Linked DNA regions of Saccharomyces cerevisiae S288C. The protein of the gene in region 2 interacts with the protein of the main gene of each other region in a biochemical or structural test. Each region holds a gene or a part of one and is shown on either strand. Other genes may lie near its edges.

Region 1 (3,600 bases), on a different chromosome or scaffold from region 2:
CTTTAGTTGTTGGAGGAGATGGTCGTTTCTACAACGATGTTATCATGAACAAGATTGCCGCAGTAGGTGCTGCAAACGGTGTCAGAAAGTTAGTCATTGGTCAAGGCGGTTTACTTTCAACACCAGCTGCTTCTCATATAATTAGAACATACGAGGAAAAGTGTACCGGTGGTGGTATCATATTAACTGCCTCACACAACCCAGGCGGTCCAGAGAATGATTTAGGTATCAAGTATAATTTACCTAATGGTGGGCCAGCTCCAGAGAGTGTCACTAACGCTATCTGGGAAGCGTCTAAAAAATTAACTCACTATAAAATTATAAAGAACTTCCCCAAGTTGAATTTGAACAAGCTTGGTAAAAACCAAAAATATGGCCCATTGTTAGTGGACATAATTGATCCTGCCAAAGCATACGTTCAATTTCTGAAGGAAATTTTTGATTTTGACTTAATTAAAAGCTTCTTAGCGAAACAGCGCAAAGACAAAGGGTGGAAGTTGTTGTTTGACTCCTTAAATGGTATTACAGGACCATATGGTAAGGCTATATTTGTTGATGAATTTGGTTTACCGGCAGAGGAAGTTCTTCAAAATTGGCACCCTTTACCTGATTTCGGCGGTTTACATCCCGATCCGAATCTAACCTATGCACGAACTCTTGTTGACAGGGTTGACCGCGAAAAAATTGCCTTTGGAGCAGCCTCCGATGGTGATGGTGATAGGAATATGATTTACGGTTATGGCCCTGCTTTCGTTTCGCCAGGTGATTCTGTTGCCATTATTGCCGAATATGCACCCGAAATTCCATACTTCGCCAAACAAGGTATTTATGGCTTGGCACGTTCATTTCCTACATCCTCAGCCATTGATCGTGTTGCAGCAAAAAAGGGATTAAGATGTTACGAAGTTCCAACCGGCTGGAAATTCTTCTGTGCCTTATTTGATGCTAAAAAGCTATCAATCTGTGGTGAAGAATCCTTCGGTACAGGTTCCAATCATATCAGAGAAAAGGACGGTCTATGGGCCATTATTGCTTGGTTAAATATCTTGGCTATCTACCATAGGCGTAACCCTGAAAAGGAAGCTTCGATCAAAACTATTCAGGACGAATTTTGGAACGAGTATGGCCGTACTTTCTTCACAAGATACGATTACGAACATATCGAATGCGAGCAGGCCGAAAAAGTTGTAGCTCTTTTGAGTGAATTTGTATCAAGGCCAAACGTTTGTGGCTCCCACTTCCCAGCTGATGAGTCTTTAACCGTTATCGATTGTGGTGATTTTTCGTATAGAGATCTAGATGGCTCCATCTCTGAAAATCAAGGCCTTTTCGTAAAGTTTTCGAATGGGACTAAATTTGTTTTGAGGTTATCCGGCACAGGCAGTTCTGGTGCAACAATAAGATTATACGTAGAAAAGTATACTGATAAAAAGGAGAACTATGGCCAAACAGCTGACGTCTTCTTGAAACCCGTCATCAACTCCATTGTAAAATTCTTAAGATTTAAAGAAATTTTAGGAACAGACGAACCAACAGTCCGCACATAGAATTATTGGTCTTGAACAAGCACTAATTTTCCAAAGATGTTTTAACTGATCTTAATTTATATGTAGAGGATATATGTAGTATATCTATTTTTTGCTGATTGACTTATCAATTAGCTTCATAATACAACATTGTTTTTGTTTTTCGTTACTCGCGACTTTCTTCGCGGCAGAGCCGCGCTACAGGAAAACAAGATCAAAACATGCCCCTATTGGAAGGCTTAAAAAATGCTTATCCCGAACGAGCCAACGGTAATCAACACTATCGTCATACCAACAACAGTTGAGTTATTTTTCGCTCCCATACTTTTTAGAATTGGTTTGTTTGTGTTTGGTTAAATTTCAAAGCCTTTATATTCTTTGATATAGATTACTCTACAATTTCTTTGTATACAGCGGGAAATTGACACTTCAAAGTTCCTCTCATATCAACAAACATTAATACAGTTCCTGAAAATGTATTCTTGGAAGTCAAAGTTTAAGTTTGGAAAATCTAAAGAAGAAAAAGAAGCCAAACATAGTGGGTTTTTTCACTCCTCTAAAAAGGAAGAACAGCAGAATAATCAAGCAACTGCGGGGGAACATGATGCTTCAATTACTCGTTCATCTTTAGACAGGAAGGGCACGATAAATCCATCAAATTCATCAGTGGTCCCGGTTCGTGTTTCATACGATGCATCCTCATCGACCTCTACTGTACGAGATTCAAATGGTGGTAATTCAGAAAACACGAACTCATCTCAAAATTTAGATGAAACAGCAAATATTGGTTCTACAGGGACACCCAATGATGCCACCTCAAGTTCAGGAATGATGACTATCAAAGTATATAATGGTGATGACTTTATTTTACCTTTTCCGATTACCTCAAGCGAGCAAATATTGAATAAACTATTGGCCTCGGGTGTTCCACCGCCACATAAGGAGATTAGTAAAGAAGTAGATGCTTTAATTGCACAACTGTCCCGTGTTCAAATAAAGAACCAAGGTCCAGCTGATGAAGATTTGATCTCTAGCGAGTCAGCAGCAAAGTTCATCCCATCTACTATCATGTTACCAGGGTCTTCGACCTTAAATCCCTTACTATATTTCACCATTGAATTTGATAATACAGTTGCAACTATTGAAGCAGAGTATGGTACGATCGCTAAACCTGGTTTCAATAAGATATCTACCTTTGATGTGACAAGGAAATTACCTTATTTAAAGATTGATGTATTTGCAAGAATTCCGTCCATTCTTTTGCCCTCGAAGACATGGCAACAGGAGATGGGTTTGCAAGACGAGAAGCTACAGACCATTTTTGATAAAATAAATTCCAATCAAGATATACATTTAGATTCTTTCCATTTGCCCATCAACTTAAGTTTTGACTCTGCAGCTAGTATTAGACTATATAATCACCACTGGATCACATTGGATAATGGCTTGGGTAAGATCAATATTAGTATTGATTATAAACCTTCCAGAAATAAACCTTTGTCCATCGATGATTTCGATCTTTTGAAAGTTATCGGTAAGGGTTCGTTTGGTAAAGTGATGCAAGTCAGAAAGAAAGATACACAAAAAGTATACGCTTTGAAGGCAATCAGAAAATCATACATTGTCTCTAAATCCGAAGTCACGCATACTTTGGCAGAAAGAACCGTTCTAGCACGTGTTGATTGTCCATTTATTGTACCTTTGAAGTTTTCTTTCCAATCACCGGAAAAATTATACTTTGTTTTAGCGTTTATCAATGGTGGTGAGTTGTTTTATCATCTACAAAAGGAAGGAAGGTTTGATTTATCACGTGCCAGATTTTATACCGCAGAATTGTTATGTGCGCTAGACAACTTGCATAAACTAGATGTTGTCTATCGTGATTTGAAACCAGAGAATATTTTATTGGATTATCAAGGCCACATTGCCCTTTGTGATTTCGGGCTATGCAAATTGAATATGAAGGATGATGATAAGACAGATACTTTTTGTGGGACCCCAGAATACTTGGCACCAGAACTATTGCTAGGTTTAGGCTATACAAAGGCAGTAGATTGGTGGACATTGGGAGTCT
Region 2 (10,829 bases):
ATAGTAACGCTTCTCTCCGGGAACATCAACGTACATGTTGATAAAGTCAGGTTGATAATTCTGTTTGGATTCTTTAGCCTCTAAGTGAACCAACGCTATTTTCTTTTTGGATTCAACGTGGAATCTCATATAGTGATGTGTCCTACCTTCTTTATCTAATTTTTTGGTAGATACTATAGGCCTGTTTCTTGTCCATTTGTCATTCGTTATAAGCTCACCGTACGCTTTCAATCTTTCTTTTCCCGTAATGCCATCGTCGCACTGTAACAAACTTCTTATATCTTTGTTTTTCTCTACCATAGAAACTGCTCTGTTGAAAAGCTGTGTATCACCTGAAGGCGAAAATAGTTCTGAAAGAATTAGGTAAATAACAATAGCAGATATACCAACAGCTCCTATCACAAGTATGCCAGAAAAGGTGAACGTAGAAGCGGATTTTACTTGAGGCCATAATGGCTTAGGTTTATTCCTAGTCTTGTCATCCTTCTTTCCTGATGTTGCGCCGGTGCCATTACTATATAATCTTGTTCTAAGCAGTGACGTATGAGTTATTACCGATGAGTTCACGAAAGTATTATATCGTGGAAACAAAGGCTTTCTATGTCCTAAACGGAGTAAAGACCTAGGCAAACTTGAGCTCATTGTTTAAACTTGGAGTCAGGAAAATAATATACGAATGATTTTACCAACCTGATATCTAAAATTAAATTTAGAACTATAACCTGCTGTCACTGGCGGAAAAATACGCCCTCAGGTTTGACCTAGTAGAGCTGAACATCTTTTCACTGCTTTCTGTATCCTTTATTTATTGGAGCTTCCGAAACTTCCCAAGAAAAGTGAAGAAAAAACCAGGAAAATCAAAAGACATGACGCATATAATGTACACCTTTTTTTTTTCGCGGCCAAAAATTTAACCTACTCATCTAGATCAGTGGTTGGTAGAGCAGTATTCCGTCATTTTTCATGTCCAGGTTCGAAGCTGACCTGGTATTATCCGGTTTTTTTTCTTGTTGACCAATAGGAAAAAAAAAAATTAAAATAAAGTCACAGAAATTCAATGAATATTATAAATTTTTCTTGTTTGTTTCCCTAGTTGTTATTTTTATAAAAAAAATTCTTGTAGACAATAAAATAAGAAATGCCCATTTTGTAACTTAGCGAAAGATGCCCAGTACATCCCTTTTACACCCGTGCATTAAAGGTGTTTGGGTTTAATAGGAGCTTTATCATATCTCTTTGATTTTTTTTCTGCTGTCCTCGGCTTGAGGGACTCACAGAGATCTGGAAATTTTCAGATTGTCAGTGCTTAGGATGGGTTGTCAGTAGACGGTGGCCGCCGTGGATGGGAAATCTCATACGTTTACACACATAGTGTTTGGAAATTAATAGTAGCAATAGCTATCTGGCTACTGTTTTAAAGTATTAGCCCGTTCTCAGTGCTTCTTTTTTAAGGAATAACAACGGCAAGACCAAAGATATATCAAATATGGCTAAGCAATCTCTAGGTATGTTTGGAGGATACGAATAACGATAGAAAACATGAGTGAATTTCCGTCCACGAAAAAATGTTAACATAAAATGCAAGAGAACAATTAATCGAATAATGTTAAATTATTGTAAAACAATGTGTATGATGAGGAGGAATGTACCTAAGCCAAAAAAAAAAAAAAAAAAAAAAAAAAAAAAAGAAACAGCTTTTGCATATTCAATCCAGGCATAGGGCGACTATTTAGCACTCAACGATTTTTAAGCTTGTGTATTGCTGACATAAATTCCGGCTTTAGAATCCAATATTGAAAAACGTGAGTACGCAGAGGAGATAGAAGAAAAGTAGGAAGTTACCGTTTATATTGATTTGTGAAATGCATACTCCGTTGGATGTGGGGCAACATAGATTTAAGTGTGGATGAAAATTATGTGCTCATTGTGAAAAAAAAGTTTTGCTTTTACTAACAAATTTTTTTATTATTTGTTTTCAATAGACGTTTCCTCTGACAGAAGAAAGGCCAGAAAGGCTTATTTCACTGCTCCATCCTCTGAACGTCGTGTTTTGTTATCTGCTCCATTATCCAAGGAATTGAGAGCTCAATATGGTATCAAGGCTTTGCCAATCAGAAGAGACGATGAAGTCTTGGTTGTTCGTGGTTCCAAGAAGGGTCAAGAAGGTAAGATTTCATCTGTTTACAGATTGAAGTTTGCTGTTCAAGTTGACAAGGTCACCAAGGAAAAGGTCAACGGTGCTTCCGTTCCAATTAACTTGCACCCATCCAAGCTTGTTATCACTAAGTTACACTTGGACAAGGACAGAAAGGCTTTGATCCAAAGAAAGGGTGGTAAATTGGAATAAACTAGCTCGACTTTAACATAGATCATACAAAAAATACAATAAATAAATCCTGTGTTTCTTTTATGTATATTTTTTATCAATTTCAATTTAGTTTAGTTTAGTTTCTTTAAAAATAAAATTGTAATTTCTCACATTCTGCCTTCGGGTCTCAAGGGCTGGTTGGTAGACGAATGCGCTTGTTTCTAGCTGAGCGGCAGATGCATGAATTCAATGCAAGAAAATGAGAAAACTTCCAATATTAAAATGTGATTGTTAATTATTAGTATATTTATGACAATATATATATGTACATAGGGTGATTATGAAGATGAGTAAGATGCGAATGGATATGAGGATATGAATCTTTTTAGAGACAATGAAGATGCAAAGAAGTAGTTAAGCACATTGACCTCAGGGTTGCTATATGCTACTTTTAGTCCGTTGGATTTCTGAAGCAGTATTGGCCACAAAAATTTCTTCATTATTTCTACGATTAGAGTTTCTTCTGGATTTTTCTCGTCCCTGAGACTTACTCCTTTTCAAGTCATTTTCAGCAGCAGCTTTGATTAAATCATATCTTGTGATTTTACTTGGAGAGCTATTGTGATGGGAACTTTGTCTGCATGTGACTGTATTAGTCAGAGATGTTATGGGCTTAACCATAAGGGAAGAAACTATGGCACGCATGAATGAATTACTGCTTTTACTGCTGTCATCTGTTGAGTTTGCTGAGTCTTCCGTTCTTGTAGTCTTGGCTGGTGTGAGTAACATTACGTATTGTTTCTGTAGAGAAGATAACTTATAACTTCCGTCTTGTCACTAGTTGTTTTAATTATATGTTTGTTACAAGTTTTTATGTATAGATATATGTTACAACTTTTAGAAGTATTGTGGACATAACAGAGAGAAGGGAATGTTGCTATATTTATATATTTTATATATTGCCCTCAAAACTGTATCTCATCTTTTTTTCTGCAATCCTTGCTTTCGTAATCTAAGTGTGGGTGACATGCTAAATCCGCGGCTTTCCTTAAGCTTTTTCACAAACCATCTATTATGTCCAGAAGCTCCGCTGATTATCCGTGGAAAAGGGTCTTATTCTGCCGTAGGAAACTTCTTCTCGAGAAAAAAGTGAGTTCACCCGCGGCGCTCTCGTAAAACCCGAGGGCCGATTCTTTCCCTCCGTGGAACAATCGGCCCCGCGGCGTCAGAGGGTATTATCTCCGCAAGTGATAGAACTCACATTTATTCTACGTTCTGCATGGTTTTGATTATCTTCTTTTGCACGATGTCACATACTTTTTCGATTACCGTCGCTTTACACAGTAACTGTTTAAAACGAGCGTTCTTAATTAATAACTGTAGGAGAGCAGGCTTTCGGCTTTCTTTATGAGAAATAAGGACTACTCCAGCTTGCCAAGTTTTATCCAGTTACACAAACGCTCAAGATCGCCTCGCTAAAATAGATGAAAAAATAAGAAAAATGAAATGTTCAACCTAATCCCTTTTGGATTTATCATTGAAAGATCGCTGATTTATTCTTTTCCAATACGCCTCGTAATTCTCTTTCAATGTCAAAGGCGCCAGATTGTAAGAATCTGTCATGTAAAATAATCTGACAATACGTAGTTTTAAAAACCAATTGATTAAACCAAGCTCTCTTATGATGCCAACTATAAAAAAATAAAGTGATCCAGTCAGTGCCCCCACGCTGAATCCCACGATTACTTGATCTAAATTGTGGTAGTGCAAGTAAACTCTGGAAAAGCAAACGCAAAACGATAATAAAGCCAATGCACCAGAAAAAATGCATTTTTCTAAGAAGTTTAGATTCTTCCAGGAAGTGTATATCTTCAGAGAGTTATAGGTAAAACAAAACCCCATGAATTGGGAGTGTGCACTGGGCATCCCGTAACCGGATCTTATAGTGTCATTTTGGAACGACGCACCGAACGATACGGGGCGTGGCTGTTTTATTATATTCTTGATCACGTTATTGAATATTTCGTTCATCAATTGGCCAAAGGCTACAATGCAGGCTTCTAACTCTCTTGTGATGATAAACCACGACAAATAAAAAGCTAGCACTAGGATGGGCATCAGCGAGAAATATGCACTAAGGAATGATAGAAAGTCATGCGAATCATAGAGAATGTATGTGTCATCGAATGGTATAACATTTGGATTTGGATTTATTGCAGCGGCGGTACTATTCATGATATGATCCGATTCAAAACAAATTTTGATGTAGATAAAATGCCTGGTATAATGAGTGGTAGAGAAGAAAATTAGACGAAAAGAATGAGAACGAAGAAATGATTTAAAGTGATCACAGTGGCAATCACTTTCCCCTTTTTAACGCGTGTTGAGCAATCGATTGATGTCTCTACCATATGTAGCATTTTCTCAGAAGGCAAACTTTTCTTTTTCTTTCTACTTTTCCAACAAGAAATTTTAAGTTTTCCCAGAAACCCGAATTCTCCTATTTCATCCACCACGTAAGAACGGTTTTCTTCCTGGCGTAATTAAAAGCATAAAGAAAAACTGAACAAGCTCTAGATGTAGATCAGGGTATACATGGTGCGCTTCAGTAAGTGTACTGTACCACTAGTTTGGCGTCTGTCACTTGAATTGCGGATTTGTGTAGAGCAATGAAAGCGCTGCTTCTGCCGCCATCAAAAAAAACTGAGTAGTTATTAAAGCCTATGTATGACAATATAAAAATGTATACAGATCAGTCTGTATATAAATCATGAAAATATCTTTAAAAATTTCAAGAGCGTGTTTCCGCTAAACCTTGTCATATTCAACACAAATCAGTATCATTCTCGGCGTAAATTACATGCGAATCTCCCTAATTGTGATTCAATATTCCAGCGAACCCCGAGAATTTAAATAGAACAGAGTATATGCATTTATTAACAGTTATTACGCCTTGTCCCCAGGGAGAGTAGTAAGGGATATGGGCATTTATAAATGTACATAAGTCACGTTTTTGCAGCCAATAAAATATAATAATAGAATAGTAACAAGGAAAGCTAGGCCAAAACTCCTTACATGGAGCTAGTATACCCCTTTTCTAAGAGGAGTACTTGGCAATCAGTTGATCAACAAGGGCAATGTATTCCTTTTCGGCATCTTCCTGGGATTTACCTTTTAAGTTTTCCCAGGCTTCCCACTTGTAGCGGTCCTTCATGTTGAAAATACCAGGCTTTTCCTTGTCGTTGTCACCTACAGTGGCTTGCTTGTACAGAGCATACAATTCTAATAATTCATCAGTGGAGGGCTTCGTTGGTAGCTCGTTGACGGCTTTAGCTTTTTCTTCGAATAATTGGGAAACCATTTTGCTGAAAACACTAGTTTAACTAATTTTAGAGTTTTAGTCTTCCTTCTTTTGCTTCACACAGTGAAATGATGTACATAACGTACTTGCTTCCGAGACAGACCAATTGATCCAAGCTAGCTATATATATGGCGGTCATTGGGGAGTTGGCCTGGAGCTGTTGAGTTTGCGGACGTGTCAGAGAGCGCGTAGGGCCGCCAGCGCCACCTGTCTTCAGGCACCAAGGCCGTAATCTCTTCCGACGGTCATTTTTTAATGGAATGTTTCAATACGAGAGTTTGTGGCATGTAGTTTAGGAACGGATTATAGAGAATAGTCGAAATATGTTTAGTCCCTACACAAATTGCTAGACTACCTGTTTCGAGTTTCCTCTATTCCTTTGCTAACGGAGCTGCGGTATATAAACCATCGTAGACTCAAAGCCGTTACCCGACAACTATCGGGTATAGTGAAATGCCTATGTTTTCACTTTAAGACCTTAGAAAACTATCATGAGATCTCGCCTTCAGATGCAGATATTTCAGTGGATTCACGAAACAAGAAAAATTCACTGATCGATAACATCTTCCTTTGCTTGATATTCCCTTTTTGAATTTCCCTAACTACCTTTTGTTGTTTACCACATATTCTCTAAAAAGCAGAGTTATTCTTATTTTGTATTTCATTGCATTTTTATCCATTTAGTTAATGACCGAATTAGATTATCAAGGAACTGCTGAGGCGGCTTCTACCTCGTATAGTCGAAATCAAACGGACCTTAAGCCGTTTCCTTCTGCAGGCAGTGCATCTTCATCAATTAAAACGACGGAACCTGTGAAAGATCATAGAAGAAGGCGTTCTTCCAGCATAATTTCACATGTGGAACCGGAGACTTTTGAAGATGAAAATGACCAGCAACTTCTACCAAATATGAATGCTACTTGGGTAGACCAACGCGGCGCTTGGATTATTCATGTGGTCATTATCATACTGCTGAAACTATTTTATAATTTATTTCCTGGTGTTACCACAGAATGGTCGTGGACTCTGACTAATATGACATATGTTATTGGGTCCTATGTCATGTTCCATCTGATTAAGGGTACCCCTTTCGATTTCAATGGTGGTGCTTATGACAACTTGACGATGTGGGAACAAATTGACGACGAGACTTTATATACTCCTTCAAGAAAATTTTTGATTAGTGTCCCGATCGCCCTATTCTTAGTTAGTACTCATTATGCTCACTATGATTTGAAATTGTTTTCATGGAATTGTTTTTTGACAACCTTTGGTGCTGTTGTCCCAAAGTTACCTGTTACTCATAGATTAAGGATTTCTATCCCAGGTATCACAGGTCGCGCCCAAATTAGTTGAACATAGTTTATTTCAATCTTGTATCTAGATGTTTTTGCTATATTTATATTTTCTGGGCCAAATCACTAACGCTTTGAAATTTCAAAAGCCAACAACGGATTTCGGACTTCATTTATGTAAATGAAAAAGAATGTGAACAAAAATTGAAAAAATTCCATATTAATGCACCTTCTAAACCTATTTGTTGAAATTGTATTTAATTCATATAATCATATTCTATTCAAAAAGAATAACAGATAGTATTAGCACTATTTCACGTACTGCTTCTAATACTATTATCACAAAATAGACATCGGAAAACTCAAAAATAACGACAACTGCAGGACTCGAACCTGCGCGGGCAAAGCCCAAAAGATTTCTAATCTTTCGCCTTAACCACTCGGCCAAGTTGCCAATGTATACATTGCTGTTTCCTGGTTTGAAGAAGCTAATCGTGCACGTAAACAACAATCTATACTACAAGTAAAAAAATGGGGAAAAAGATGCTGAAGGTGAGATATATGTGGGTAATTAGATAATTGTTGGGATTCCATTGTTGATAAAGGCTATAATATTAGGTATACAGAATATACTAGAAGTTCTCCTCGAGGATTTAGGAATCCATAAAAGGGAATCTGCAATTCTACACAATTCTATAAATATTATTATCATCGTTTTATATGTTAATATTCATTGATCCTATTACATTATCAATCCTTGCGTTTCAGCTTCCACTAATTTAGATGACTATTTCTCATCATTTGCGTCATCTTCTAACACCGTATATGATAATATACTAGTAATGTAAATACTAGTTAGTAGATGATAGTTGATTTCTATTCCAACATACCACCCATAATGTAATAGATCTAATGAATCCATTTGTTAGTTAATAGTTTAAATGTTTTTATCGGAAGAGGTTTTGTCATCACATCAGCAATGTTCTTCTTGGTCTCGATGTAGTATACGTATAGATTATTACCTGATACTTCATCTCTAAGTCTCATTGCCTTTGTGCCAAAAAATCTGTTTCTAAATTTCTCTTCATTTGTAGACTTAATTATACTGATCGTTGATCTACTATCAGTAAGTAAGCCTTTAATAATTGGTTTCTTGTTAAGTTCTTGCACAAGGTGACTGAGGTTATTCAATAGCGGAATAGCTTCACTGACTGCGTGTATTTCTGCTTCTGTAGTTGAAGTGCATGTTAACGAAGCCTTTGTCGACTTTCCTCCAATCACTTTTCCGTTGAGTAGGAAAATGTTACCAATTTGTGACTTGTAATATGGTTGGTTACCATATGAAGCATCGCTTATTGCGACTAGTTTATTATCTGGCTCGGTAGGTTTGTTTTTGTGCCATATCAGTTGTTTATCTCTAGTGTCCCACATGAATTGTATTAACTCATATGTCATGTCTAAAACTTGCCTAGAGGGGAATAGTATATGTTGAGCAAGTGTGTTGATGTAGTATAGTAAGTCAAATCTAAATTTATATCCAACATATGAAGCTAGACCAATCAACTTTTGCATTTCATGTACCTTCTCTTTGTATTCATCTTCATCTATTTCTAGTTCATCCTGGTCTATATAAAGACCTGGTTGACCTGGAGCGCTAAGTTTTCTTCCTTTTGGATTCAAAGGTACGTTTAATTTGGGTATTTTCTCAGTTAATGAGTTTTCCATACCTAATTTCATGTATTTACCTCTTTGATATTTGATTTCTAAGCCAAGTATGTCGTACTGAATTTCGTTATCACTTTCACCCAGATTTATTATCTTTGTATCGTATTGTTTCTTGAGTGTTGTTATGATTTTCTTATTTGCATTTAAGTCTTTGCTGAACAATATCATATCATCAACGAATAAGCAAATTGTTACTTGACTATTCTTAAATACGCATGACCATCCACGAACTTCTTCCATACCACACTGTTTTATCAGGTATGATTTGATAGTTTCGTACCAGTTCGCTCCACTTTGTTTCAATCCATAAAGTGATTTCTTCAAACGTATCAACTTATCATTCATTCCTAAATGTGGTGGAGGTCTTATGTATAATTCTTCTTTGATGTCTGCATACAAATATGCCGAAGATATGTCTAATTGTGTAATATAGTAGTTATTGTCTAATGCAAGTGACAGGGATGTCATTAATGCATAGTGATGTACGGTATTGGATTGCATGCCTGAGTCGTAAGTGTCAGGATGCTGAATATCACCTCTTGCAACAAATCTAGCTTTATGAGTACCGTCACGTTTCCTGTTGAAGATAAACATTGAATTTATTACTCTTTTAGGGTCTATTTCTTTTCTGTCATAATATTTGTCAGTGTCCCAAGTATTCATTTTCAATAGTTGGTTGACTTCTTTGTGGTATGCTTCGATATATTTTTCCTTTTCTTTAATATCTTTATTATAGGTGATTGCCTCATCGTATCTTAAGGTTGTCCGTATTGGTTTGATTGATTTTACTGCTTTTACAGCTGCAATCAGGTGAATTCGTTTCTTCGATCTCGGAGGTTCTAAACTACGCATATTCTTAGTATTCCATGTGTCTCGTGATACCTTAATTTCAGTTTCATTATCTTCTAATGATCTTTTCTTACTGTTGATAGTAGTATAGGCATTAGAGTCACCAATACCACCCAAACTGGAATTAGTTTGATGAGAATTTATCGGTGGGAGTTCTTTAAATGGGTCAGGGAATTCGGTAGGAGATTCTGGAGGTAGATCAGGGAGTGGGAGATCAGCGATGATAGATTCCTCGGTATTCTGTTCAGAAACAGTAGTTGGCGTTTTGATAGGAACAATATTGTGCGATGAATTATTTTCCGGTGGAGAAGCATCGATTGAAGGTGAACGGTGTATAATCCTTTTCTCAGTCTCTTGGTCACTTATCTGCGGAACAGTTTTGTTGTTGGTACCACCCGTACTGGATATTGGTACGTTTGTATGATTAGTCTCATTTTCACTGTACGAGTCTGAGTGTCTGAAATCTTTAGATTTACTGGCGTGCGACGACTCATGTGTGTTAGATTGGGACATGGGAGCAAGTAAAGGAACATTTAATTTATGCATACCACCCGAACCGGTACTCTCGATATTGGAAATTTGGGGGGTGCTAGATCTCTTCTTTGATGGAAGAATATTAGATTCAGATATGTTGGGGTCAACTTCTCTGGGTGCGCGAATATTGGTTTTAGAAACACGTTTCGAATCTTCAGTATGAGTTGACGGAGGTGTGGAATCGGTTGGACTCACAGCTTTTGAAAGGACATTTCTCGGTTGCTCAGGATGTAGTTCAATGTCGGATTGGAAGTCATGGTCAGATTCTATGTTAAGATCATTGGATTCTTGGATCTCATTTGACGCAATGAACGAATGATATGAAGCAGTTAAACGGTTTAAGTCTTCATCGAAAGTGAGTGCGTCGTAATTGAATTGATCTAATCTGGATTCCTTGCCCTGAAGAATAACATAGTTAGTTGTATCTACTGTCTTCTTTAAGGATGGAAGATAGATGATATATCCATAAGAGTTTCGAGACGGATGTAGAGCGTAGCCTGGGATGCCACGAGGATGTATTTTGGAGTTAGGGTTGTGATCATTGACGATAACAGGTTGACCGAAAGGTAACAAAGTACTGATATCAAGTCCTGCCAAGCCAGCATGTTGTCTTGCAGATTTTTTGCTTTTAGGTGAAGCTAGTGAATTTCTCACAATAGTAGAAAATTCGATTGCAGAGAACCATAAATGGTTCGGTAAACCACTACATTGCAGTTGAGTACGGCAGTCATCTAATAAGGTACGGTTTAGCCGTTCA

What was found. Proteins that work in one complex are often made in the same cells at the same time.
Region 1: of the proteins of ORM1 (region 2) and YPK1, one has a biochemical effect on the other in vitro, tested with the Saccharomyces cerevisiae proteins (2 studies listed by BioGRID).

The regions. Positions count from the first base shown.
Region 1 is NC_001143.9:203,707-207,306, forward strand, and holds the start of YPK1 (serine/threonine protein kinase YPK1), read left to right. Parts: upstream 1-2,000; coding exon 2,001-3,600. Other genes in the region: phosphoglucomutase PGM1, read left to right, coding at 1-1,547. UniProt on the Saccharomyces cerevisiae protein: Plays an essential role in the proliferation of yeast cells. Involved in a signaling pathway, required for optimal cell wall integrity, that acts in parallel with the PKC1-SLT2-dependent pathway.
Region 2 is NC_001139.9:554,326-565,154, forward strand, and holds ORM1 (sphingolipid homeostasis protein ORM1), read left to right. Parts: upstream 1-6,356; coding exon 6,357-7,025; downstream 7,026-10,829. Other genes in the region: TIM21 (Tim21p), read right to left, coding at 1-642; 60S ribosomal protein uL24 RPL26B, read left to right, coding at 1,487-1,505, 1,983-2,347; YGR035C (uncharacterized protein), read right to left, coding at 2,747-3,097; YGR035W-A (uncharacterized protein), read left to right, coding at 3,240-3,461; CAX4 (dolichyldiphosphatase), read right to left, coding at 3,824-4,543; long-chain fatty acid transporter ACB1, read right to left, coding at 5,406-5,669. UniProt on the Saccharomyces cerevisiae protein: Component of the SPOTS complex that acts as a negative regulator of sphingolipid synthesis. Acts by inhibiting serine palmitoyltransferases (LCB1 and LCB2) activity.